Linked DNA regions of Solanum lycopersicum. Each later gene encodes a partner of the first gene's protein in a complex. Links are inferred from orthologs where the notes say so. Each region holds a gene or a part of one and is shown in the gene's direction. Other genes may lie near its edges.

Region 1 (7,822 bases):
TGTTATTAGATTTTTGTATTTAGATAACTTGGGAAATATTTTTTACCATGAATTGCGGGTTTCGAAAACACCATCATGCAGGATTATTAGCTTTGCTTTGTGGTCTGAACCAAGCTCAAAGAAATAAATAACAATAATAGCATCGACTCAAATTTATATATTTATGTTTAGGGGTATTCGTAGTTTGATTTAGACTGGTTATTGATTAAAAGTAAAATCAAATCAATTTAATTGGTTTTTTAAATTTCTAAAACCAAATCAAATCAAACGAAAAAAATAATTATCAGTTTAGTTATTGTCGGTTTGGTTCGGTTTTGTTTGATTTGGTTCAATTTTTCTGATTTATTTGGTTTGAAAGTAATATTTCTTTAAGGACGTACATATCTCAATAGACACAAACACCAAGTACACGAACAATCTACAAAAAAGATAATGTCGATTCATTCAAGCAATTAAATAATATTAGAGTTATCATTACACGAACAAAGTGATTCATTTAAGAGAAAGTGTGTTATTTTATGTGACTTAGGTAAAGACTAAAACGAATTTTGATGGACTTGGATTTGAGATATTTATACTTGGGTTAAAGTGTTGAACTTGATAAAATGATGAAGTTAAAGACTTAAGTTAATTAAAATTAACAAAATATTTTTAATTAATTTATGAACTATGTAAATTATCCGTGCTTCGCACTGAATTGAACTATTTTCTTAGGCTTACGTATGATCATTCCATAATATTTGTATTTACGATACATAATTGGCAAAAACTTTTTATCTTAAGGTAAAGCGTTTTCTCCAAAATCTTATAGTGCTATATTTTTTAAAGAAAACTATTTTTGTTATACAAAAATAATGAGTCATATATAGATTTTAAGTATAAGAAAGAAGTATGAGAGAATCTCCCTTGAAATAGTGAACGACATTAGAAGTTCAAAAAACAGATCATAAAACGTTGACAACAACACTCCCAAGTAAATTAGAACGTCACGTTCATACAAGATCATAATTAACTAAATTCAAATAGACGATCTTGGACTTTTTTCTATGAACGTCAATCAACCTCTTTTTTATTAATGTATGTCATATCAAGTATATGCTAAAAATGACCCTAAAATTGTTATTATCATAAATATTTTTTCGTCATTGTCTCAAAATAGTCATTACTATTTTTAAGGTTTCATAACACCAGCCCCAACTTATTTGGATTAGAACATAGTTGTTGTTATAGTTATAGTATGCTGTTACAAAAAATTAATGTAATTATCAACCAAGCAGTAGGTGGCATCTGAATGTTCACAACGGGATATACTAAACCAAAATTTTGACATATAACATATTAAAATCTCACAACATAATATTTTGAGAACTTGAACAAAAAAATATCCAAATAATAATAATAAATACGATCTTAATTTCCTAACAATCAAGAAGAAAAGGCTTGTGCTTCATATATTTTTTAAAAAGATAGTTTTTCGGGTTGTGTCCAAATTTACAGTTCACAAATTTAATTGAAAGAAGCCTGTAAGAGATATTACTTCTTTATCAAAAAATAAAAAATTAATCAAAAGAATGAGTTATCACTTTAAGAAAATGATCTTTAATGATAACAAATAAATTAATTATCATTAAATATGTATTTTCAGAGGCAATTGGTACTCTGTATAAATGTCCCTAAAATCTATAACAACATTCTATTCAATGACAATTATCAATGTCGTTAAAGGTTGTAGCACTCTTTGTAAAGGTACATATTCATTGCCGATAGAAAATATTTTTGTGATAGCGTATTTTGGACATTTGTTAGTTTCACGAAAACTTTATCTTTTATTAAGCTGAAAATAGAAGAGAAGAAGAAGTATGACAAATTAGTTAACGTGCAATAAAAGATCTGGACAAATTATCTCTATACAAATATTCTAGAAAATGTATAATGGCATACAAAATGTTTATATCTAAGAAAAAACAATCAAAATAATATACTAACTGTTGCAAGCAAGAGAACAATCATTTTGATTCTTTTAACAAACTTCATCATTGATTTTGTATTACTTATAAGATATTTGTTGTTGTGTGCTCTCAAATATAGCACAACCCACAAACAATTTTTCCAAAAGTACATATAGAAATCCTCTAAAAAGGGACAAAAGAGAATATAAATTTTCAGTCTTCCTCACTAGAATTTTGAAGATAATTAAAAAAATAAGTCACAAAAATAACAAAAAAGACGTTGCAATAGATACATAAATCACTATAATTATAGTAAAAAATTAAATTTCATGATATAGAAGAAAGAAACCTTTGAGAAATGAAATACACTTTATAATAAGCATAATTAATGTATTTTAATTCGAAATAAACATACAAATAACAATGACATACATAAAAGATTTGTTTACCAAAGAACCAAACGGAATGAATTCAACCATCAACCATTTCAACAACGTTATGAATTGTGCATCCAGAGGTCTAAGAGTTGTAATGTCGCGTTGCAATTGAAATCAATTTGCTTTGTTTATATGAAGAAGCCTGTAGAAAGGGACAAAAGGGAAGATCAATTTTCAATCATCCTTGCTGACACTTAAACAAATTTTTAAAAAGGTCGCTAAACTAGAAAATTTTTTTACAATACTTAGATGAATCACTATGACTTATAGTAAAGGTGAAGATCCATGAAAACTTTCAAGAATGAAACAAACTTCATAAAAACTCAAGTCATGTATTTGAATTTGATTGTCCTATATTGAGGGGGGAAAACCTATAAATTATAGTGGCAAGAAATTCCTCTATTTATAGATAACATAGGGTAATGTGCACAAATTAGACACTTAAACTTGTATAAAGTTGAACAAATAGATACACATGTCCTACATGTCATTTTTTATCCTATGTGGTGTCTTACGTGTACTGTGTCATGTAGGACTCATATGTTTATTTATTTAAAAGTTGGATAGTTAAAGTGTCAATTTGTGCATTATGAAAGTTGGAGGTCAAAGTTAAAATTTGAAGTCAAATTTAGGGTCCAATATATGTATTATGTCTTTTTCATAAAAGTCGCAACTCTTCATAAAAGTCACAACTTTTCAAAAAAGTTACAACTTTTCCTAAAAGTCACATATTTTCATAAAAATCACAAATTTTCATTAAAGTAAAAACTTTTCATGAAAGGGAAGACTTGTTTTGAAAATAAATAATTTTAAAAAAATCTGATTTATGGTGGTGCCAAATAGGCGGACCTAAAGTTTTTTTTTTATTATATAAATGTATGATAATATATAAAATAATTATAAAATTTATATATCTAATTTATCGGTTCAGTTTAGTTATTTTTACAATTTTTGTAAAATTAAAACCAAATCAAGTAATATCAATTTTTAAAATTTAAAAATCAAATCTAACCAAACTAAATTAAATATCAAACTTTTTTTTATCAATTTAATTTGAATTACAATTTAATTTAATTGTTAAACCATAACCATAAATAGTCCTCAATATGCTAATAGTAAACTATTACTTCTACATATAGAATTATCATTGAATCACATATCAAGAAAGGCTAATGTAGTATTTAAAAAAAATATAACAATAACTAACCTTTTATTTATGAAACATCTCCTTCTCTTATAATAATTACTTTATTAAAATTATATCGTTTAGATCAATTACTCTTTATATGAATGAACCTTACTGTTAATTAATAAATAAAATCCTTCTGTTCTCGAGGGAAAAAAGAACTTGGAAAATATAAATTTTGTGCTTTTGCTCCAAAATTTTAAAATAAAAATCTAAAAAAGATTAAAAAAATCTTTTTGATAATTTCATTGTACAAGCTTGGCAAACAGGGTTTAAGAGAGGTTTTAGGGTTTCTTCTGCACTAGTTCTTCTTCTTCTTCCTTTTGTTCACAAAATCAGAAAAAAATGAGAGGAATACAGTTATCTTTCAGCAACACCCAAAAGCTAAGATTAGAAAAAGCATTAGCGCAATTGGAATCCTTTTCTTCGAAGCTTAATTCCAATGCCACTGTCATTGTTGCAGACAAAATTCCAGTCGACGAAGATGCTGCCCTCAAGTAAGTAGTTGGGGTTCTTCTATATGAATCATTTGTATCTACTCTACAACCCCTTTTTGTTCAAATTAAGAAAATAGGTGTTGATTTCATTTTTCCGATTTTTGGTATCTGACCCATTTTTGTTTGTTGAATGAAGAGGACATGGGACGTTGGAGATGGGCAATGATGTTGTTGCAAGTGTATGTGGAGTGGTTGAGCGGGTGAATAAGCTTGTTTATGTTAGACCTTTAAGGGCCAGGTTTAGTGTTTAAAGTTTGAATTTTTGTTGATTTTAAGCTTGATTTTAAGGTGAAAAAAGGGTTCTTTTTAATGTAGGTATAAGCCGGAGATTGGTGATATTATAGTCGGCCGCGTTATTGAGGTGAGTCTGATTCCCTGCAATGAGTTTCTTGTCAAGTTTGCTTCTTTCATGTTTAGGTGTTTCATTTGCTGCTAGCTCTTACATCGGTTTCTTCCAAAAATATTGAAAATTGAGTAATCTTTGCTCCTTTTATGTTTAAGTGCTTATAATTAGAAGTTTAATGCTAGTGTATGGACAATTTGTTTCTAGTTGATTGAATCGGTATTTTTGGGTAGTACTGTAGTAGTTAGAAACCTCAATTGATACGAAAGTCGAAACCTGTTGCAATGGTAAAGTTGCTCTCTTTAGTGACTGGTAGGTCATGAGTTCAAGGCTTGGAATCAACTTATTTTCAATCTACCATTTTCCCCTTACCATGCCTAACCCCGGGAGCATCTTGTTCAAAGTTCACTTAGCAAAATGCAACTCTCTCCTAATGTATCCCCAGGTAATTGTAAGGGATAGGATAGAGAGTTAAATTATTTCCGCTGCTCTTCAGGTTTTCCTAGTATGATCATAAATTCATAATAGCGTGGGTTTTTTCACTCTACCATTTGTTAGAGAAATATATTAGCCTTCACATTAATATATGGATAATCTAATTGTGCATGCCTTTGGTGCTGAATTTCAAAGAAAGGGCACTAAGAGAACATAAAGGAAAAGAACACATGTGTCCTCCTTTTTACTTGTCTCCATTTACTTTGGCAAGAAATATTAATGTTTCTTGCGGTTAGATATATATCTAATGATTATTAATATTCTTGATGTAAAGGTTGCTCCAAAGAGATGGAGGTTGGAAATTAATTTCAGCCAAGACGCTGTACTAATGCTCTCTTCTATGAATCTTCCAGATGGCATTCAGGTTATTGTTTACAATGTCACTAAGCCCATTTGAGCATAATCTCTGAATTGATTTTGGTCCCATGATGTGATGGTTATATTTTCTGGATAATTCACTAGTCAAGATTGTGTAATTTGGAGTCCTTATTGCATCTTGTCTGCATGTAAAGAAACATTTGTAAGGAATCAGTTGAGCACCGAAATCAGGACCTCCTTTATTCTGTGTCACCATATGTACCCACTTGTGACACTGCATATTGAAATCCTAGAGAAAAAAGAGCTGAAAAGATTTTCCTATGGCTGTTTTATATCATTTTTCCAAATTCTTCAGTTTCAACCCCCTCCGCCTCTGTGGCTTAAGACCCTAGTCTATTTCACTTTAGCAGCAGGGAACCAACTTTGCTCCTCTTTGAAGAAGTCATCTCTTTAACTTCCTTTGGTAACATGAATCGAATAGCCCAATGGATCTATAAGTCCAAGATAGCATGGATTCATATGGCCTACCCCAACTTGTTTGGGATCGAGGCACATTTGCTGTGGACCTGTGGTTGTAAAGGATTCACTTCTGCCTTGGAGAGTAAGATGAACTTTGTCCAGCTTTTAACTCTATGCACAATCTCATATTTTAAAGAACACTGCTGTCTCAACATTTAAATAATTAGACCTTCATGGGCAACAAGTTTCTCCCCAATTCCATTCTCTAAATTTATCATAACAGTACAGTGAATTTATCAAACTAGTATAACTTCTATTATTGTTCAATAAATGAGCCCACTGCCTGAAGCTTGCTTAAAGAGATCTGAAGTTCCCAAGGTATTGAAACTAAAGAGTTAGAAGGGTGACATGCCTATAGAAGTTCGATCTTGACTTGTGACTCGACCTGTAGAGCAGATACAACTTTTGAAGTTTGTCCCCTGAAGCAAATATACACTTCCTTTTCCTTTTTGTTTCCCTGAATTTCTGTCATTATGTTGCATTCTTTTAGGTCTTACTTAGTCATGGTCATAGTCAAACTAAAATTAACTACTTCCTCTTATTCTATGATTCCAGAGGCGGCGAACAGCAGTTGATGAACTCAATATGCGAAGCATATTTGTGGAGAATGATGTCATCTGTGTAAGCTCCCCAGCTCCTTTGACTATTTATCAAATTCTTGAAGGGACCATTTTATGTGTGGCATCCATCTGTGGATTATGATGAATGCAATTATGTCTCGTCTGTCCTTACTGATTATATGTGCATGTCATTCTCCTTTTATTTTATTTTATTTTCTGCAAGTATGGTAATCTAAGCGAAATTGTCCATCTTCAGGCTGAAGTCCGTGGTTTCCAACATGATGGGAGTCTACACCTCCAAGCTAGAAGCCAAAAGTATGGAAAGGTGTGTTTTCATAATTGAAATTAGAACACTAAATTTTGTTTCAGAGTTATTGTTTTGATTATCAGGTTGGAAATAAGCACCTCATTTTCTCACCTTTTCCTCCTCCTACCTGTTTGACCATAAAAGCTTTGTGTGGGAGTAGGACTGGGATTCAAATTCAATCTCCACAAGGTGGGGGATATACATTTCTAGCATTCACAAGAGATTTTAGGTAGATGGATTTATGGTTAATTAAAACCATGGATTAAACTTTTCCCATTTAAAAAGCGTAAAATAATTTTGCATAATAGCTGGGATGGAGTTGCTTGCTTGTAGGAAGCAGGAAGATGATATGTCTGATGAAATTTTTGAAGTTAATCTTAATTTTCCACGGTCTAACGAGTTCTCTGTCTTGTCCCGGATACACTCTAGACGTGAATAGCACTCAATATCACTATCTAGGCGAACCAAATCCCGATATCTTAAGCATTAATTTGCCACATTTAATAAATCTATTAAGTACCCTAACAATATGATAATTAATTACAAAATAATAAGTATCTTCAAATATTAATTTAAGCTCTTGGCAAAACCCCACAGTAGACCGCATATCAGTGTTCAGGAAAGTGAGTGCAGCAATGAAGCAAAGCGATTCGAGCCTTCTACGCTTCACAGACTAGAATGAGTATGTCAGCGCTTCATCGCTTAAAGCAAGCTCTTCATTGCTTAAAGCGTGAAGCGGGGCGTTATCGCTTTTTTCCGCTTCACGCTTCCCTGAACACTGCCGCATATATTTTAAACCATGTCTATATTTCAATGGATTAAAATGAATCTGTCTGTGAATATAAAGGACAATATTAGTTAAAACCTCATGGTACAAACGGCAGAAGTTTTACTTAAGCAGATGATCTGACCATAAAGTTCGAATAGAGAATACAAAGGACCTTGACATGATCTGCATTAGATTGTTATTTTGCTTTAAATACTGGCAAGAAGGCCTTTTATATGCTGCTGATATCACCATCACATAGAGCTATACTTTTCAGTTGCTTCTCGTCATGTTACGTCTCTTTTTCTTGGGGTGGTCAGTGGAATGAAATGTGCATTTTTACCTAAGCTTTGCAATTTTTGTTTGTCCCCTTGAATATATTTCAGATTTCAGACATTAATTATCAATTTGTTTGAGAACATATGCTCTGATGATTTGGTGTTTC
Region 2 (8,079 bases), on another chromosome or scaffold:
AGTAGGGATGGAGGTTCGTTTGATTTTGTCAAACTTTTGATTTGATTTTTATGTTTTCCTTTTTTTAATAGTGTGCATCAAATTACTTTACTTGTTCAATTTTTTTTTTCAAATTTGATTTTATTAAATTATATTTAAAATTCTTTTTTTTTTTTTTGATAGTTATGAAGAATATCAATAATGAAAATAATACTTCACAAATGAATTATACACAAGTTTGTTTGATTTAATCTTATATAAAGTCATGTTAATGTCTTTCTCTTTTACTAATTAATGTTTTGACTACTTTGTTTTTAGATACATCTCGAATTGGAGTCTGGAGCCTAAAGGGTACAAAATATTAACAAAAAATTTAAAACGGTATATAAAATTTTATATTAACCAAAACGGTAAAATCGTTGCACCAACAGCGACTTACCCCACCGGAAAAAATAAAATCGCTGCCTCTGCAGCGATTTTGCAAAATCTGATTTTTAAAAAAAATAAAATCGCTGCCTAAGCAGTGATTTATAGAAAGAATTTTTTTTTTTACAAAATCGCTGCCCCAGCAGCGATTTCTTCAAAAAAAAAAATTAAAAAAATAAAGAAACTGCTGGGGCAGCGATTTCATAAAAGAAAATTTTTCTTTTTTAAAAAAAATTAAGGAAATCGCTGCCCCTGTAGCGATTTCCTTAATTAAATTTTTTTTTTTTAAGAAATCACTGATGGGCTGCTTAGGCAGCGATTTCATTTTTAAAAAAAAATCAGATTTTTGCAAAATCGCTACCTCTGCAGCGATTTTGCTTTTTCCGGTGGGGTAAGTCGCTGTTGGTGCAGCGATTTTACCGTTTTGGTTGATATAAAATTTTATATATCGTTTTGAAATTTTTATTAATATTTTGTACCCTTTAGGCTCCGAACTCTCTCGAATTGATTTTGCCATTCCCAATAGTTGAACTTTTTTGACAACTTTGACCTTTAAAATTTTAACCATATTTTTTTTTTTAAATTACTCCCTGCGTTTCACAAAGAATGACCTAATTTGATTTGGTACAGAGTTTAATAGTATAAAAAATACTTTCGTATCGTGTGATTAAAGTTAATTTAAATGTATAAAATTGTCCTTTAATTATGTGGCCTTAAAAATACCGCATGAAAGCTAATTTTAAAATGTTAAAAAAAAAAAAAGAAATCATCAATTATAAACAGACTAAAAAAAAATTGTTATTTATTTTGAAACGGATGGAGTAATAATCATGGTGTGGACTAGTTTTGCACATCTCTCTTTTATTTTTGAAGAGAATGTTGGAATATAAAAGTAAAACTCAATCAAACAACTAAAAGGTAGCTGAATTGTTGAATGTTCACAAAAACAAAAAGAAACAAAATAAACCTAAAAAAACACCCAAGTACTACAAACATAGAACCAAAAGACAAATTAATGTTGATTGAGTTTAATTTTTTTATATTCACGCCTACCCCTAATAAAGTTTTCCCATATTTTAGCTACACATATATTTATCTTTTTTGAAAATGAAAAGTGGTAATGGTCAGAAAATTTAAAAAATTATAATATTATTTTTTTAAAAAATAACTTGATCTTTTTCTATATTCTAGTAAAAAGTATTAAAGTTAAAAAGGTAAAAATATTTTGAGATAAGTGTCAAAAACACACCTAAACTGTTCACCTTTTTAAAGTTTTTTTACCTAAGTTATTAGAAGTATGAGTTCCATACCTAAACTATCAGTTTTTAGTTTGAGAAACACACCTCAATGGTGTGTGTAATGCATTCTCTCTTTTATGTGAAAAAACTTTGACACATGGCATTCCACATAAATAAAATATTTTATCTAGATAAAAATTAAATAATAAAAAATTAATATTAGTTAAAAATAAAGATTAATATCCAAATAAAAAAATTAAATTATTTTTCTCATCTCACTCCACTATCTCCTCTACGTACCCCCTCCTCCGCGACAACCCCATCTTTTTTTTTAAAAAAAAGAATCATTTATAAAATATTTTTAAAAATTTCATATTTTAGTTTTCGCTCCGATTTTTTTTTTTAACGTTTTTTTCTTATTTTGTGTTAGATATGCACGTACATATTTTTTTTTTCCATAAAAAATCTACTAGTGTACCGAATATAACATAAACAACTAAAAAAATGTAAAAAGTCTTATGGCGGCAAGTAAACATATTTTCGATATACTTATCTAAACACTAGAGAAAAAAATTGAAAGCGTATGATTAAGTGGGATGGATAGAATTATACTTTTAAGAAAATAAAATAATATCTAAATTAGTATTTGACGAGGGGAGGAGATGAAGTAAAAAATGAAATACTTATATGAAAGAAATTCAAACAAAATAAAAAACTTTAAAAAATGGTGTGGGGTAAGAAAAATATTTTATATTTTATTTTATAAAGAAAATATTATTTCTTATAATTGTTTTTAATTTTTAATTTAACTAATACTAATAATTTATTTATTTTTTGTCAAGGTTGAATGTTTTGTCCATGTGGAGTGTGATATGGAAATTCTTTAAAATAAACGAGAGTGTTTATATTACATACCATGATGAGAGTGATATAAAAGAGAGATGTGTTTCTCAAACTAAAAAATGATAGTTTAGGTTTGAAATTCAAATTTTCAATAGTTAAGGTATGAAACTCAAAAAAAAAGTATGGTTTAGGTGTGTTTTGACACTTATCTCAAATATATTTATAAAAAGTAAAATTACACAGAAAAAATTGCTAGTAGTGTTAAAAAAAATAGGAAAAATTGTATCTAATGCAAATTAATAAATCAAATTGAATGCTGTAACCACACTTTAATTTAATTGTACCCTGTAGCAAATTGTTTGTCAGTTACCTTTCTCCCTCAAACTCTTACTCGCCACTCTCCTTCTCTCGCTCACTCCCTCTCACTTTTATACAAACACGAGTGTATAAAATGTATTTCTGTTTGTATAAAGCGAGAAAAAAATTGTATATATACATACATTTTCGTTCCCCTCTCTCCCCTCTTCCAGACCTCGCTCGCCACTCTTCAGATCTCACTCGCCACCCTCGCCTCTATCGCTTGTAAAAACAGAAACGAAATGTATAGATTGTGTTTCTTTTTGTGTAAAGTGAGAGAAAATTGTATATACACTTGCAAATACATATATCTTCGTCCCATACACTTATAATTATACAATACTAAAATTTCATTGCCCAATTTTATTTTATCTTTCTCTCTTTCTCGTTTTATACATACACAAATTATACAATTAATTTGTATACAACTGCTTTCTTTTATATATGTATAACGAATTATACAATTGATTTATTTATATATATATATATATATAACGAATAATATATATTTTTATTTGCTATACAACGTAATTATACAATTTTGGTATAACATAAAAATATAAATTTGATGCTTACTACGTGTGTGAAAGTTGCTCTTCAAATTATGCAAAATTTGAGACAAACTTTTATAATTTTTTTTGCTGGGAAGATACAAATATAAAAATAAAATCCCAAAATACCAAATGCCAAAACCCTGATTTGCTCTAAAACCTCAGGAAATTGGCACACTCCAACTATTCCAGCCTCCTTCTCCGGCCGAACAAAAATGGAGTACGTTAATCCTGAAGGTCTCCGTTTAGATGGTCGCCGTCCAATGGAGGTTTCTTGCTCTCTCATCACTAAATTTCTACCTTTTTAATCGTTATCTTCATTCTCTTATTACTTTGATTCGTCTGTGCCCGTGTTTACTTTCAGATGAGACAACTTCGTGCTGAAATAGGGGTTGTATCGAGAGCAGATGGGTAACTACTTAGACTTCTATCTAATTGCATTATTAAGTTATTCTATACGTCAATTTGTGACTAATTTATCTTTTTTGAGTTTAATTAATTGGTCTGGTGCTAAATATGGGTTAGTTCTGTAGTTAGGTTATGTTTTTGATAGGCTGCTATTTTATTGTACCTGCAACTGAGTTTGTTTACTCTGATTATTTGCAGTTCTGCCTCGTTTGAAATGGGGAATACCAAAGTCATTGCAGCAGTTTATGGTCCTCGGGAGGTAAATTCACGTAATACTCAGTCTGTTGATTTTGACTCTTTTTGGATTATGAATCAAATTATTTGTTATTTGTTGGTATTATTGTCTAGGTGAAGTAATGGTTTTTGAACTGAAAATAAAAGGAGGGAAGTTGTTTGTCTAGAAATAACAGCTTGTGTGATATTGTGTTCCATGATGGAGGGAATGTGGCTTGGTAAAACAAGATTTTTTTATGGGTTGCCTGCTAACTTTTGAAGTGTGGGGTGGTGGAAGCACGGCATATTCGATAGTTTAGTTTTTGCACTAAGTTATCTGAGAAACCTGATCAATTGGTTCTTCATTGATAGGCATGAATATGGCAAGGCAATGTGGGTCTGGCGTGGAGAAGGTTCTGAATATTTAGTATGAAATTAATTAACTTAATCCCTAGCATTAGTCAATAAATGAGAAAATAATAAGTTAATGAAATAAAATTATTGTAAAGTATAAGGTAAAAACCTATAAAGGTTAAGAGAGACAAATACTAGAAGGAAATCAACAGGAAGCCTGATGAAAGGAAAAAGGGTGCTGGAACCATAAAAAAGCACATAGGAATCGGAAAAGAATGATAGAACCATTAAAAGCATTAACGAAGCCATATTTGATATTCCTTGCTTCATGTAATTCATAATATACAAAATCCTCTACCAGCCCTGCCTTGTGAAGTTGCCTCCTAAAAATTTGATTGGATATCCTGTTGTCTTCCTCATTAAGGTTTTCCTTTTGATGCAGTAAAGTAATTAATTGATCAGCATCTGAGATCCCTATCAGCACAAAAGTGAAAAATTTGGTTAGCTTTGGTACATTTTTTTTGATAAAGTAAATAGTTTTATTAATAATAGGAAAACCTCCAGTGTACAAGCAATAACAACATACCTAGTGAAGCCACAAGTGGGGTCGGGTAGGATGTACGCAGACTTTACCTTTGTTGGGGCAGAGAGGCGGTTTCCCTTAGTCCCTCTACTCTAAGGAAGTATAATCAAAGCAGGATTGAATTTTATTAAATTTAATTGGTTAACACTTGTGTAATAAGGAGTTTCTTGAGATTGATTCAGGCAAAGTATTTTTGTTTGAGTTAATGCTCGCTGATGAAGGTTTTTAGCCTAGCAGGAAAAAAAATGGAAATAGGATACTGCTATTGTAGAAGACCTGTGTAAATTCGGACTTTGTCCGTTTTGAAAGCTTTGTCAATTTGCGAAGTACAACTGCGAATTTGTGCTTGCCTTCAGACATCTTCTCCATAATTTAGTTGGTTTGTTGTTTTTCGTGTCAGTTGGTCCTGCAGTAATTAATTTATTGTAGGAATAGTAAAAAAAAAGCAGATACATAACTAGGTTGTACCCTTCCAGTGTGCCCCAGGTGGTTTGGGCTTGGGACTTCCATGTTGGATGTCTCAAGTTTGAAACCCCTTGCCAAGGAAAGCAAGGGGTTTGCCTTATGGGTCGAGCTCGTCGCACCAAGCTTGCCTAGTGCGGGTTACCTCTCTTGTGTGGTTTGCAAGCTATTATATAGGAGCGGGGGTCTTACCTATGTGCACCCTAAGGGTAGCGGCTGCGGATTTCTCTCGTCATTAAAAAAAATATTACTAGGTTGTAAACTTTATCACAGGGACTTAAGAGGATCTTGATTCACTAGGAGTTAAAAGTTTGAAATGCATACTAGTATGTCTAAATGCCAATAACTGTCTTCAACATAGGAAGTGTTGTATAAGAAGTGTTTATCAAGGATTAGAATAAGCAGGAGGAATTATGCAAAGGATGCAATTACCATTGCACCAAAATCAATTGTTGTATGTGCTAGCACGTCAAAGTTATAGTTCTCAACGGAACTTCTGTTGCTGCTTAAAATGGATGGTGTCTGCGGAAGTTTAGGTTGAATTTTAGGATGTTGAGTGTGTAGTATGGATGCATCATTGCAGCAAACTGCCTAGAACGGCATTAAGCTCAATTATAGAAGATGACATCCAGTCCAGTTTTTGCGGAAGAAAGCTCCTAAGATACCGGATGTTGCAATTATCCACGATCAAATTAGTGCCTGTTGTTCTTGGGTGCTCAGTGCATTGAACATCCATCCAACAAGGAAAATGAGGGAAAATTTACACTTGGTGCTTTATTTTTTTGAAGTAAGACTTGTATATCACACTGGTATGCAAATTGGATACCAGTAATGTACTTTTGCAAAAAGTATCTAATCACTACCTCTGTGATCAATGATAAAGATATCAGTCTTAATTTTGATATATATAAAGGTTCATTCAAATGTCTCAATTGTTAGTTTCATCATTCAGGTTAAGAACAGGAGCCAACAGATGAATGACCAGGCACTGGTAAACTACCTTTCATGATGAATTCTTATACTGCAAGATGTATAACCTTAAAAGTGAGATGATATGATTTTACTTGTCACTCTTTAGGTACGTTGCGAGTATAGCATGGCTAATTTCAGCACTGGCGATCGCCGGAGAAAAACAAAGGGTGACAGGTGATTCCATGTTACCTTGTCAGTCTCTTTTTTCCCTTTTATTTTATGTGTTTTCAGTTTTCACCCATGCAATTATATCATCTTGCTCTGCTGACAGTTCCATTATAATTAAAATGAACTCTGCACGTGTGCTTGAAATTCAATGGACAATATTCTACAGAACTGGTGCTGGTAGAAGAAAAGTTGTCCCAACTCTGAACTGTAGCTATTTAGGGTTCAAAAGATGGAAGGCATACAGAGCACTAACGGTTGTTGGATGGACAAGCAAACATATTCTATAGGTGTTGAGCTTTTGTGGGTAGTTCGTTAGGGTGTAAGGTATAGTGACTTGTGGATTTGGCGCACGTCATGGGCTCAAACTCTGCCTCTGATACAAGCCTGGTATTTATGTGCGAAGGGTGGAGGGCTGGCTTTCCACTGAATTTTAAACCTTGAGCCATTTTTCCTTGCTGATTTCTTGGTTATTTAAAAAAGAAAATATTCTATAACCTAATGGAAGACTTTGGAGCTCTTTAAGCACTTGTCCAGCCAAGAAAGATGCTACTAGGATACTAGGATAGTAACTATAGTCTGTAGTAGAAAAGGAATTAGAATCTTAGGAATACTTGTAGTGCCCAAAAATATTATTTAATGGTAAGGCTGCATAAGACGGTTGAACAAATGTTCCACAGACAATGCAAAAATTATCTTGAAATGAAGCTAGGTAGTAAACACAGTTCAAGAATCACTAATCTTAATATGCCAACTCTTAATTTATCGTCTATAATTACCTACAATTAACCAAGAAAATTATTCAATCTATGATATTCTTTTAAGGAGAAATTATTCAATCTATGACACCGACAATTAACTAAGAAAAGTTATTCAATTTGTGTTACTTCTGGTTACACGATGTCTATTCGATGATACCTATGTTTTCAATTCTTAGGAGATCCACGGAGATATCTCTTGTTATTCGCCAGACAATGGAAGCTTGCATATTGACACACCTGATGCCTCGCTCTCAGGTTCGTAGTCCGCTTAATCTCTTTAACTTGAATAAGTTATGTAGTCTGACCTCCATTTATAGTTCCTTGATATTTTGCTTTTCAGATAGACATTTATGTCCAAGTCCTCCAAGCAGATGGAGGTAATCAGCACGGTGTTTAGTGTTCTATTCTTCTGTTCTTCAGAATCAATCAGAAATTCGGAATAGATATTAGCTGTCTGGCACTGCATGCAGCCCATATTTTGTAGTTCTATTATATTTTCCCTCTAGAAGTGCATTCTAACTAAGTTAGCACATTATTTAGGTACAAGATCAGCATGCATAAATGCTGCCACACTGGCACTTGCTGACGCCGGGATTCCCATGCGTGATCTTGTTACATCATGCAGTGCTGGATATCTGAATAGCACACCTCTTCTTGGTAAATTAATTCCGAAAAATTTAGTTGATTTTCCGGTTCTTTATTTTAACAATATCATTCTTTTCCAGTATTAATATGTGAATGATCTAGTTGACGTTACTTGTTAAAAC

The links.
Region 2: exosome complex component RRP4 homolog (region 1) and exosome complex component RRP41 homolog share a complex: the UniProt entries of both Arabidopsis thaliana proteins name them as parts of the RNA exosome complex. The link is inferred for Solanum lycopersicum from reciprocal best matches to the Arabidopsis thaliana genes RRP4 and RRP41.

Annotation. Positions count from the first base shown.
Region 1 is NC_090808.1:63,091,351-63,099,172, forward strand, and holds the start of exosome complex component RRP4 homolog, read left to right. Parts: upstream 1-3,650; 5' UTR 3,651-3,917; coding exon 3,918-4,069; intron 4,070-4,205; coding exon 4,206-4,307; intron 4,308-4,384; coding exon 4,385-4,430; intron 4,431-5,181; coding exon 5,182-5,271; intron 5,272-6,299; coding exon 6,300-6,365; intron 6,366-6,560; coding exon 6,561-6,629; intron 6,630-7,822. UniProt on the Arabidopsis thaliana protein: Non-catalytic component of the RNA exosome complex which has 3'->5' exoribonuclease activity and participates in a multitude of cellular RNA processing, maturation and degradation events.
Region 2 is NC_090800.1:82,539,984-82,548,062, reverse strand, and holds the start of exosome complex component RRP41 homolog, read left to right. Parts: upstream 1-3,424; 5' UTR 3,425-3,609; coding exon 3,610-3,663; intron 3,664-3,758; coding exon 3,759-3,805; intron 3,806-4,000; coding exon 4,001-4,061; intron 4,062-6,366; coding exon 6,367-6,405; intron 6,406-6,492; coding exon 6,493-6,560; intron 6,561-7,488; coding exon 7,489-7,567; intron 7,568-7,652; coding exon 7,653-7,689; intron 7,690-7,852; coding exon 7,853-7,969; intron 7,970-8,079. UniProt on the Arabidopsis thaliana protein: Non-catalytic component of the RNA exosome complex which has 3'->5' exoribonuclease activity and participates in a multitude of cellular RNA processing, maturation and degradation events.